Linked DNA regions of Callithrix jacchus. The protein of the gene in region 1 binds, or shares a complex with, the protein of each later gene. Links are inferred from orthologs where the notes say so. Each region holds a gene or a part of one and is shown on either strand. Other genes may lie near its edges.

Region 1 (4,488 bases):
TTTCCTACATAACCACAATATTACCAACAAAATCAGGGGATTAACATTAATATATATCTACCATCAAATCTTCAGATCCCATTCAGACCCCCCCCCTTTTTTTTTGAGATGGGGTCTTACTCTGTCTCCCATGCTAGAGTGTGGTGCAGTCTCAGCTCAGCTCACTGCAACCTCTGCCTCCTGGGTTCAAGGAATTTTCATGCCTCAGCCTCCCAAGTAGCTGGGGCTACAGGTGTGTGCCACCATGCCCACTAATTTTTATATTTTTAGTAGAGACGGGGTTTCACTATGTTGGCCTGGCTGGTCTCAAACTCCTGAGCTCAGGTGATCTGCCTTCCTTGGCCACCTGGCGTGTGTGTGTGTGTGTGTGTGTGTGTGTGTGGTGTGTGTGTGTGTGTGTGTAAAAGGATTATGTTCAAAAACATGTTTTGCATTTACTTGCCATGGAACAGTTCCTTCCTCATTCTGGAGGAATTTCTTAGTCAGTACTTGACTTTTTTGACTTACACTTTTGAATGTTACAGACCAGTTGTTTTGTAGAACATCCCTTAGGTTTTATCTTTCCTCGTGATTAGATTCAGGTTACGCAACTGTGACAGAAAAATGGAAGTTATGTTGTAGTCTTCTCATCACATCCTAACAGGCTGGCGCGTGGTTTCAATGTCTCCTATTACTGATGGTATTCATTTTGCTCACTTGATTAAAATGATAGCTGCTGGGCTTCTTGGTCACAAAGTTACTTTTTGTCCTTTTTAGTTAATAAGTATTCTCTGTGGAGTTACATTGAAGCTATGTGACTATATAATTTCTCATCCAAAGTTTAATTTATTCATCTATTTCTTCACAGCTTTGTGGACTCATGGTTTTCTATTTTATTTAATGGGTTGTAATACATTATTTGTTATTTTGATAATCATATTGTCTCTGATATGGCCAGTGGGAATGCCTTCAAGCTTCTCATCATTCTTTAAGAAATTTTGGTCAAGGCATGGTAGCTTATGCCTGTAATCCTAGCACTTTGGGAGGCTGAGGCAGGCAGATTGCTTGAGTCCAGGAGTTCAAGACCAGCCTGCGCAACAAGGCAAAAACTCATCTCTACAAAAACTACAAAGCGTTGGGCATGGTAGCCCACGCTTGTGGTTCCAGTTACTTGGGAGGCTAGGGTGAGCTCGCAGACATTAGCTTGGTGACCGCTGCCGCTCCAGCGTTTTCCGCAGGCTGCAGCCTCTGGGTTCCAAGCTTTTTATTTCCCAGTCTGTACGCAGGTTAGCCTTGAGCAGGAAGCAACTCCTTCTCCAGCCGGGAGGTGGCGGCCTACGGTTGACGACGCCTCCGTGGAACCTGGGCTTGAGGTTCCGTTTGGGGGCGTTCTCGTCCGGCTTGCGGACCGCCCTTCTCCAGAGCCGGAACCATCTGGCGGCACCTCTGGTTTCAGCGGGGGTTGTAAACAGCGCGCACCGGGCTTTCCTCGTCTTCCGTACAGGTTCCTGCTGTTGGCTGAGCTCCGGAGAGAACGCTCTTGGTAAAGCGCTGCGGGAGGGAAGCGACGCCGGGGAGCTACGGTTTCCTCCGGAGGCCTCCGCCCCTCTGCCTCTTTCTTCCCAGAGCTCGTATCTGACCTGGGCCTTTCCCGGTACCCCGGAAAGGCGGGGGTGATAGTACAGATGGAGACGCAACTGCAGAGCATTTTCGAGGAGGTGGTGGTGAGTTCAGCTGCCGGGCATCCAGGACTATGGCTCAGGGACTAGGAGACGCGGGGGCAGCCGACCAAGGAAACTGGCCTAGGCAACCTCCTCTCACGCCTGTCTTTGTATCCCCTTGTTTTGACACCGACGTTGTATGCGGGGGGGGTTAGTGATTCTCAAACTGCTGTCAAGTTCTTTTTATCCTTTGAAATTGATACGACAGGCCAGACAGGTATTGGTAGTTTCAGAGCTAATTAAGATGACTTGCCCTGGGTTACATTGTAAATACTTCGCTAAGGGAGGCCCCTTTTTAACATTGTTTATATTTTTGTTTTTTACAGAAAACGGAAATTATAGAAGAGGCTTTTCCTGGGTGAGTGTACGCATGGCAGATTTTTGTGTTTTTACATGATTGTATCTGTCAGATTTCACTTAGTTTCGTGTTGGAGGGTTGTAAGAGCCACTAATCTCATTGTGTGTAATTACCTTTTTAAAACGAATGACAGCTAATGTAATTTTTTTTTTTTTTAGCATGTTTATGGATACCCCTGAAGATGAGAAAACAAAACTAATTAGCTGTCTGGGGGCCTTCAGACAGTTTTGGGGTGGTCTTTCTCAGGTGAGCACTTCATGTTTAATACATTCAGCTGATGATTTTTGGGCGCTTCCCCCCCTTTTTTTTTTTAACATTAACATTGATGTTGCTCTTATGATCTTCCTGAGAAGGGAGAAATAAAATTGTCATCATTTTTTTATTCTGGTTTCCATCTATTTTAATTTGTATATTTCAGTGGAAAACTTATGTTAAGAAGTCAAGTTTATATTGCACAGTGTGAGATGTTAAAAAAAAGAAAAAAAAGTAACCCCCCCCATGTTAGCTTATTTAAGACCATTTTCATCCTATTTGGATTTATTTGGTACACTTGAAAACAGATGTGTTAAGCTTTACTTGTAAAAGATACAAATTACAGGTTTTTTTTTTTAACTAAATAAAGGAATTGGCACAGCATTGATGCAAAGATGCTATAATAGAAATACCGAGATTCTATTATAAGGATAGGAAGATACTATAGTAAAAATGAGGAAACAAACTGTAAGAGTAACAAACTGTAAAAGTAACAAAGAACAGCTACCAGAAAATGTATCCGTGAAAAAGACAAAATATGTCATCCTTGAGCACATTACCTTCTCATGGTACGCTGTAAGTAGGGAGATGAGAACTGTTTGCATGTCAACCACTGGTGATAGATTTGCCACTCAGACATGGGCATATAATCTCAATAGTCATTTTTATAGAATGATCATATATATATACTATAGAATGATCATATATATATTTCTCCTAATAATCTAAAGGTAATTTTCTATAAGTCCAAGAATTACTTGTTCCTTCCTTTCCTACTTTTTTAAAAATAGCATCATAATATTTCATTGTATGGCTGTACCTTCCTCCATTTGACCAATCCTCTACTGACTTTTAAGTTTCTTCTTACTTTTTCTAATTTAACCAATGCTGCGATGAATAATATTATGCATGAGAAATAGGACAAAGTTCTAGAAATAGTATTGCTGAATCAAAGGCCGTATCTGTTTGTAGTTTTTATAGAAATAATTATTAAATTTTCCATAAGGGTTATACTAGTTTATACTTCCATCTGTAGTGGTTGAGCCTATCTTTTGCTTATAACCTCACAATAGAGCGTTAAGCTTTTTAATCTTTGCCAGTAAAAAACATGAGAAATTTTATTTCAGAATAGTTTTATTTTGCATTTCTCTCAGTGATGTTGAACATCTTTGCAACATTTTTTTTAAAGAGTCATTAAACACTTTATGAATTATGGTGTGGCCCTCTAATGGAGAAACCAGGAAGAAAATAGGTATTTCTTAATTGTTGTTATATGTGCAACAATAGAAGTATGTATGAGAACAGTGATTGTGCAGAACATTATAGGTTCTTCTTGGAGATATGCTAGAAGACCAGCTTTGAGATGGGCACAACATTTGGGCATCATATTTAAAGTTTTGCAAGTCTAGAAATGTGACATGTTGTTATATTCGTAGTGGGCTCTTGTTTGGGCTCTTAGGGATTAGATTCGCTTAAGGCTGATACGTACTGATCCATAATGAATTTTACCCCCAGTGATAGTAATATTTATATATGCCATAAAGGGCATTGTTTACAATGCCTTGCAACTATCTGTGTTGAGTTTTCTATTGATCATTAATATGTTCATTAGTAGTTAATTACTACTTTTGAAGGTCCCATGTAATAAAAATGGTGGCATTTTACCTATATAATTGCAAAATTTTAAGCTTAATGTGACAAATACTAAATCTGATTTTTTTATTTTGCTTTTTAAAAAATTATTTTTATCCACAGATGTTCATAGTGAAATATTTCATTCATAGTATTGGTATACTTTCAATTGTATCAGCTATTTGTTATAAAAATATAACTTTAGACCCCAAATAAAATCATTCTCTAATTTTCCAGGAGTCTCATGAACAATGTATCCAGTGGATTGTTAAATTTATTCATGGTCAGCATAGTCCTAAAAGAATTTCTTTCCTTTATGACTGCTTAGCAATGGCAGTTGAGACTGGTCTCCTTCCACCCAGGTATGTTTAATGGGTGTGAGCAATCTGAAGCATTTTCTTTTCTATATGTGATTGAAAATTGGTTCAGGTTGTTGTTGTAAAAAGATAAGAGAATGAATAAGAAAGTGAGGTTCATCGAATAATCCTTTATATAATACCTCAGGTTTTAGTTTGTAGGAGTAATTGTCTTTGACTTATATAAATG
Region 2 (3,890 bases), on another chromosome or scaffold:
AAAGTGCTGGGATTACAGGCATAAGCCACTGCACCTGGCAATTTATCATTAGTCTTTTTCTTTTTTTTGAGACGGAGTCTCGCTCTACTGCCCAGGCTGGAATGCAGTGGTAAGACCTCAGTTCACTGCAACCTCTGCCTCCTGGGTTCAAGTGATTCTCCTACCTCAACTTCCTGAGTAGCTGAGATTACAGGCCGCATCACCAAACCTTGCTAATTTTTCTATTTTTGGTAGAGACGGGGTTTCACCTGATCTTGTGATCCACCTGCCTCAGCCTCCCAAAGTGCTGGGATTAAGGCATGAGCCACCCCACCCAGCCTATGATTCATCTTAAATGCTCTGAAAGCAGATTTAAGATTAAAAGAAGATTCAGAATTTTTTTTTTTTTTTTTTTTTTTTGAGACAAGGTCTCACTCTGTTGCCGAGGCTGGAGTGCAATGGTGCAATCTCAGCTCACTGCAATCTCCACCTCCTGGGTTTAAGCAATGCTCATGCCTCAGCCTCCCAAGTAGCTGGGATTACAGGTGCATACCACATGCCCAGCTGATTTTTGTATTTTTAGTAGAGATGGGGTTTTGCCATGTTGGCCAGGCTGGTCTTGAACTCCTAGCCTCCAAGTAATCCACCCGCCTCCGGCCTAGGATTTTTACTTTTATCACAAAGATGGGTATGAGTTAAAGAGCAGTGACTAAGAGTGTAAAACTCTGGTCTGAAGACACTGGTGCCTTCTTTTCCTTCCTGTTCCCTGTACACTGAGGCATGATCCCAGTCACTTGCAGCCCACACTTTAGACAGAAGATTGAAAGGCACCCAGCAGGCCCATCGTAACAAGAAAGAGATCAAGGGGCTCTTGGGGTAGCCCAGGTGCGCTCACACTTACCGCTTAGTCATAAGGTTGTTCACGCTGGCCTCAGACAGAAGCCCCTGCTTGCCACATTCTTGGAGCAGGAAGTTTGTACAGTCACAGCTGCGAGGGAGAAAGATGCTGAGGGAACTGTGCATCTGGCTGGGATGTTGGGGGGCAGAGGGAGCAGCAGGTCCCTGAGCATCCTCCTCCCTCTTTCAGGATGAGGAAAATCTGGAGTGCCTGAGGGACAGTAGAGGGGCTCTGCGGACTTGACAACTATGGGCTTCTGCTTTCTGCCCCTCCCAAGGGGAGTGAACAAGGGGACAGAGTCCCCTGAAGCTTTTCAGGCACAGATCAGGGAAGAGCCCAGAACACCTTCCAGTAGGGCAGGGGTGAGCAGGGGAGCTCATACTTGCAGCGCTGGTCAGCTTTGTCCAACAAGGGTGTGAGCTTCAGCAGGAACTCAAAAGCACAGTTGACATCCTCAGTGAAGTCCTAAAAAGAGACAGAAGTGTCTACCTGGTTTCCAGGTCCTCTGCTCCTCCCTCAACCTGCAGGGCAGGCTCACAAGGACACGCTGCTGGATACACAGCCTGTAAGCAGGCCCTGCCCACCGCTGGTTCCCAGCGACTGGCTGGGAAGAAGTACGCGGCATCACTGCTCCCCACAGCGCCACCCGGCCCTTATCATCTCAGGCAAGCTTGACTGCTGGAGGCATCAGCCTGAGCTGCCTAGCTGCCTTCTGCCTGGAGCCTGGGTATATGCTGTGGGTGCACGCACATGCTGAAGCGAACACACACACACTCTGACACAGGTGCACATGCTGAAACACACACAAACTGAAGCACACGCACACTGAAGCATACTCATGCTGAAGCAGGCGCACACACTGAAGCACATACACATACTGAAGCGCACACACACTGAACACACACACACTGAAGCACACATACACACTGAAGCGCACACACACACTGAAGCACACACACACTGAAGCACGCACACACACTGAAGCACACACACACACTGAAGCACACACACACACTGAAGTACACACACACTGAAGCACACACACACTGAAGCACACGCACACTGAAGCACACACACTGAAGTACACGCACACTGAAGCACATGCACACTGAAGCACACATACACACTGAAGCACACACACACTGAAGTACACGCACACTGAAGCACACACACACTGAAGCACACACACTGAAGTACACGCACACTGAAGCACATGCACACTGAAGCACACACACACACTGAAGCACACACACACTGAAGCACACGCACACTGAAGCACACGCACACTGAAGCACACACACACTGAAGCGCACATACACACTGAAGCACACACACACACTGAAGCACACACACTGAAGCGCACACACACAAGCGCACATACACACTGAAGCACACACACACTGAAGCGCACACACAAGCACACATACACACTGAAGCACACACACACACTGAAGCGCACACACACTGAAGCGCACATACACACTGAAGCACACACACACTGAAGCATACATACACTGAAGCGAACACACACTGAAGTGCACACACACTGAAGCACACACACACACTGAAGCACATACACTGAAGCGAACACACTGAAGTGCACACACTGAAGCACATACACTGAAGCGAACACACTGAAGTGCACACACACTGAAGCACACACACTCTAAAGCGCACACACTGAAGCACACACACTGAAACACACACACACTGAAGCACACACACTGAAGCGCACACACACTGAAGCACACACACTGAAACACACACACTGAAGCACACACTCTAAAGCGCACACACTGAAGCGCACACACACTGAAGCACACACGGAAGCGCATGCACACACTGAAACACACTGAAGCACACACGCAAACTGAAGCACACACACTAAAACATACACACACTGAAGCACACTCATGGTGAGGCAGGTGCACACACTGAAACACACACTGAAGCACATACACACACTAAAGCACACACACTGAAGCACATACACAGCAAAGCACACACACACTGAGGTGCACACATGCACACACGCATCCAGCTCTCTTCCAGGCATGAGAACACTGTCCGGTTGGGGCCTGAAGGACCCTTCCCTTGCCCTTGTTTTTGCTCCCATGACTCCATCTCAATTCCTCAACTCACCTTGTCCCCGTGAAAGTATTTCTTCAACTTCACCAAAACCTGTGGAATCTAGGGGGTGAGGCAGAGGGAAAAACAGCAAGATCTGTTTCTTTTCTCTTTCATCTACCCCTGAAGACCTCCCCGCAACCCCCTCCTCCAAGGAGAGAGACAGGAACAGTCCTGCCCTGAGAGTGAGAGCACACTTAGAGCTAAATGACAGCCAAGGCCGGGCGCTGTGGCTCACACCTATAATCCCAGCACTTTGGGAAGCTGAAGCGGGTGGATCACAAGGTCAAGAGATCGAGACCATTGTGGTCAACAAGGTGAAACCCCGTCTCTACTAAAAATACAAAAAAAAAAAAAATTAGCTGGGCATGGTGGTGCGCACCTGTAGTCCCAGCTACTCGGGAGGCTGAGGCAGGAGAATTGCTTAAACCCAGAAGGCAGAGGTTGTGGTGAGCCAAGATTGTGCCATTGCACTCCAGTCTGGGTAACAACAGCGAAACTCCATCTCAAAAAAAAAAAAAAAAGAGCTAAATGACAGCCAATAGGTACCTAGGTCCCTTATGCCCCCAGGCCGAGGCACAGGACACAGGGACCCTGCACCTCTGCTCACTCAACAGAAAAAAAATGCCATAAGCAAAAGTAGATCCCCAGCTTCAAGGAGGACTGGGGCCCCTTTCCCTGGCTCCCCTCACTGCCCCACACCAATCTGTCTGAGGACCAAGCACCTCTGTGGCGGGAAACAACAGAGTTTGCCACATGGGCTAAATATAGCCTTGGCACTTTCAGAGAAAATGATCAATGCGAACTTGCACTGGGATACCTGGCAGGCTGGGCCCAGCGCCCGCAGGGAGAAACACAGGGCAGAGGTCCAGGGTGCCGCTGCTCT
Region 3 (3,890 bases), on another chromosome or scaffold:
CGAAGAATTATGCATGGAACAAGATACAACAGGACAGAAACTAGGGTTGGCAGGGATAGACTCCTCCTTAGAGGTGTCTAGCAGTAGGAAGTATGATAAGCAAATGGCCGTGCCTTCCAGAAATACAAGCAAGCAAATGAATCTGAATCCTATGGATTCACCTAATTCCCCTATATCCCCTCTGCCGCCAACACTCAGCCCTCAGCCACGAGGCCAGGAAACAGAGAGTTTGGACCCACCATCAGTCCCTGTGAATCCAGCCCTCTATGGAAATGGGCTAGAACTCCAGCAGTTGTCTACTCTGGATGACAGAACTGTCCTCGTAGGCCAAAGACTGCCTCTCATGGCAGAGGTCAGCGAGACAGCCTTATATTGTGGGATTAGGCCCTCGAACCCAGAGTCATCAGATAAGTGGTGGCATAGTTATCGTCTCCCTCCCTGTGATGATACTGAGTTCAGGCCTCCAGAGCTCCAGGGTGAGAGATGTGATGCCAAAATGGAGGTAAACTCAGAGAGCACTGCATTGCAAAGGTAAGACAGCTCTCTGCACCACGTACCCATCCACTGGAAGGCTATGGGCTCCCTCCCCATCTCTCCCTGCTAAACATAAGGTTCAAAATTGAAGCCGACTTTTCTTTGTCCTTCTTGACTCTGCATATGGAAGATGTTTAATGGTCCAATGCTTTGTTCTACGTACAGCATAGCACACATGTCATTTAAACACACGGGCATATAAAGACCTCTTTGTGCCATGTTAGTAGACTCAGAATATATTAATATATTTTTGGCCTATTGTTTGTTAATTAAAGAATACAGCTTTATGAGGCCTTCTATATTGCTACCAGTGCCTTCTTTGTATGTTGACATTTTTGAGGAAGGCTTTGCCTGCACTCGAGTGTGTGTATCATGTATCTAGTATAATATTTACAGTGCTTTTGGTCCACTCATTCTAAACACTTTTCATAGATTAACTCATTTAATCTTTACCATATCATATTATTATGGTAATTTTATAACTGAGAAACTAGGGCCATGCAGTTAGTAAATGACACAGATGGAGTTTGAACCTAGGCGGTTTGTCTTGAGAACCTGTGCTCTTAAGTGAAATTCATGGACCCAGAGACGAAAACATATATTCTTGAAAAAGTATACTTACTAATTTTTATTTAATCACGAATATAAACTATAAAAGCAAATCACCATATAGGTGAATTTTTAGTTTTTTTTTTTTTTTTTTTTTACAAAAAGTTTAAGCTTTGTAAATGCTTTGTCATAATGCCTTTTTTTTTTTTTTAAAGAAACGCACTTAACCTTGTTTACCTTGTTTCAATTGTCATTTTGTCTTTTAGACTCTTAGCACAACCTAACAAACGGTTTAAAATCTGGCAAGACAAACAGCCGCAGATGCAGCCACTCCACTTCCTTGACCCATTGCCTCTATCACAACAACCTGGAGACAGTTTGGGAGAAGTGAATGACCCATACACCTTTGAAGATGGTGACATAAAATACATCTTTACAGCCAACAAGAAATGCAAACAAGGAACGGAGAAAGATTCCCTGAAAAAGAATAAGGTACCATTTAACAGAGAGAGAGTCCAGCACGTGTGGGTTTCTATCTATGTCAGTAAAACACGTGTGGGAAGACTTTGGAGGCAGAACATTTCAGATAGTCTTGCCTGATTGCTCTGTCCCCATATTCATGCTCTTGGTACTATTGTATTGAACAGCGTATTGTTCCTTTTTATGTCATGGCTCACCTTTTTTTAAAAGTCAGCCGAACATAAATGAAGCCTCATATTTTCCAGGCTATAGCTTGTACAGTGCATGTTTCCTCTCATATGCTAATTCTTGTTGGCCTATGCTCCCTGCTTATTTCTTTTAAAATATTATTCCAGAGTACCCAAAATGTAAAGGGAAAAATGTTGATCATAGTATGTATATACAGTTTATCAAGCGCTTATTATCCTCACTGTGCTGAGCGCTATACCTGTGTATTCTCTGGACTCATACCAGCTCTACCCATAGACTATCAGTATTAATTTTACTGGTTTCATTATTATAAAAATGAGTACTGGTTGTGTCTGCTGTCTTTAATTTCAAATTTTCAGACATTCTAAAATACTGGGCCATCAAAAGAGGTATTCTTGAGAATCAAGGAAGTAAGACAATTATAAGAGGCCAGTATACTTCAGGGGAATGATTTTTAGATTGTTTTATACTGATCTCCCTAGATCCAGAAGGCTTAATCTATACTTCATCATCTAAAATGTTGTTAAAGGCAGCTTTTAATATCATGGCATCATTTAATATCAAATGCCACCAGTACTCGTTAGGCATAAAAAACGGATTCACTCAGAATACCCCATAGGATTGAGGGGAAAGTGGGGAGCTCATGGTTCTGTTAAAATTCTGGAGAAAGGACCTATCTTTTATTTCCTTTGGTTGCATAGACCATGGTTTATCATACTTGTGCTCATAACAAGTTCCATTCTACCCTCTAATTCTTTGTGTTCTCCCTCATATTTCACACTTTGGGTTGGTGTTCATGTGTTTTGTTTGGCTGAATTTATTATACAGTCAGAGGATGGATTTGGTACCAAGGATGTCACTACACCAGGTCATTCCACGCCGGTGCCTGATGGGAAAAATGCCATGTCTATTTTCAGTTCTGCTACTAAAACAGGTGTGTACAATGATTATTTGCCTCACTTGGATTGTTGCTAAAATAAAATGCAAGGGAGATGCTTCTCAATATAAAATTTTATTCTTATTGTAATAAGAATTTCATCTCATCTTTAATATATTTTATAGTTTTTCAGTTCCTTTCAAAACTGATAAACATATTTGGAAATAATTGTTTCTAAATTTAACTAAAACCATAGGGAAAAACTCAGGCAGGTCATGTTCATTGAGATCCGTGTCCCCTCCCCACTCCTTTGCACTTGGTGGAGTTGTTTATTCTGTTTCTTTTGCTTCCTTTCCTACAGATGTCCGGCAGGATAATGCTGCTGGCAGAGCTGGCTCCAGTAGCCTTACGCAGGTAACAGATTTGGCACCTTCCCTGCATGACTTAGACAACATCTTTGATAATTCTGATGACGACGAACTTGGGGTGAGTTTGCCATAGCTACATGCACAGAAATTTCGCTATATGAAAGGATTTCATGTCGCTGTTGTAGTATTTCTTTATAGCTTGGTCTACTGAATTTGGGGGCTCTTATTTCAGGTTCTGAATGTTCTTTATAAATGTCTGTATACTGGAGTCTAGTCACACTGTATATTGAAAAAAAGTTTATATACTTGGAAAATATTGTAAAGATTATTATTGTAGTGTACCCCCCTCTAGAATTTTGTTCATTGAAGGATCTTTTTCATTAGTGTCTCCAGTTATAAGTACTAAAAGTCTTTTCACATTCATTTTAATAAATTCTTCTAAATACCATTGGAGTATTAGAAATATATTGTCCCTTAGATTTGATTTTTAAAGTAATGCCCACATAAATTTTTATTCATCTAATAAGTCAGAGGTTAGATATGAAAATATAATCTATACTTTTTAAGATCATGGCATAATGGTAGGGAAATAGAATTTATATACATAGAAGTTAAATAATACAAGGCATCATATGATTTAAATGACAGAGAGGAATAATTGTAATTATTTGGAGATCAGCTGAACAAAGAGTCAGGAAATATGTGTCCTCATCCTCCTGACCACCTCCATACCTTTGGGCAAACACAAGCGCCTGTTTCTTCTGGGAGACCTAGAGATAAGTAAGATAGGCTCTGTTTTTTTAAAAAAAGTTTATTAGTTAATTTTTCTTTTATTTATTCACTTACCTATCTCCTTATTCATCTATTTTACATACATTTGTTAATCATTTGAT

What was found.
Region 2: the proteins of MED23 (region 1) and mediator of RNA polymerase II transcription subunit 24 are in contact, whole or in part, in a cryo-EM structure (PDB 7EMF), measured with the Homo sapiens proteins. The link is inferred for Callithrix jacchus from reciprocal best matches to the Homo sapiens genes MED23 and MED24. Residues at the interface, in NP_004821.2 of Homo sapiens: Asn150, Thr151, Val152, Ser153, Ser154, Glu193, Gly194, Leu196, Pro197, Trp199, Leu201, Gly202, Asn203, Ser206, Asp207, Asp210, Arg213, Tyr258, Asp259, Lys260, Phe263, Ser1133, Arg1139, Ser1176, Glu1180, Glu1182, Trp1183, Val1184, Tyr1186, Arg1189; in NP_055630.2 of Homo sapiens: Lys238, Thr239, Leu280, Leu283, Lys287, Val291, Glu295, Cys336, Glu339, Phe340, Lys343, Leu344, Thr345, Pro346, Leu347, Asp349, Lys350, Gln353, Lys384, Glu720, Lys721, Trp723, Thr756, Arg757, Lys758, Glu759, His760, Met802, Asp803, Pro804.
Region 3: MED23 (region 1) and MED13L share a complex: the UniProt entries of both Homo sapiens proteins name them as parts of the mediator complex. The link is inferred for Callithrix jacchus from reciprocal best matches to the Homo sapiens genes MED23 and MED13L.

What each region holds. Positions count from the first base shown.
Region 1 is NC_133505.1:138,274,456-138,278,943, reverse strand, and holds the start of MED23 (mediator of RNA polymerase II transcription subunit 23), read left to right. Parts: upstream 1-1,470; 5' UTR 1,471-1,664; coding exon 1,665-1,703; intron 1,704-2,026; coding exon 2,027-2,058; intron 2,059-2,216; coding exon 2,217-2,304; intron 2,305-4,179; coding exon 4,180-4,304; intron 4,305-4,488. UniProt on the Homo sapiens protein: Required for transcriptional activation subsequent to the assembly of the pre-initiation complex. Component of the Mediator complex, a coactivator involved in the regulated transcription of nearly all RNA polymerase II-dependent genes.
Region 2 is NC_133506.1:72,287,823-72,291,712, reverse strand, and holds part of mediator of RNA polymerase II transcription subunit 24, read right to left. Parts: intron 3,068-3,890; coding exon 3,020-3,067; intron 1,343-3,019; coding exon 1,260-1,342; intron 968-1,259; coding exon 881-967; intron 1-880. UniProt on the Homo sapiens protein: Component of the Mediator complex, a coactivator involved in the regulated transcription of nearly all RNA polymerase II-dependent genes.
Region 3 is NC_133510.1:119,043,850-119,047,739, reverse strand, and holds part of MED13L (mediator of RNA polymerase II transcription subunit 13-like), read left to right. Parts: coding exon 1-531; intron 532-1,349; coding exon 1,350-1,575; intron 1,576-2,580; coding exon 2,581-2,686; intron 2,687-2,990; coding exon 2,991-3,115; intron 3,116-3,890. UniProt on the Homo sapiens protein: Component of the Mediator complex, a coactivator involved in the regulated transcription of nearly all RNA polymerase II-dependent genes.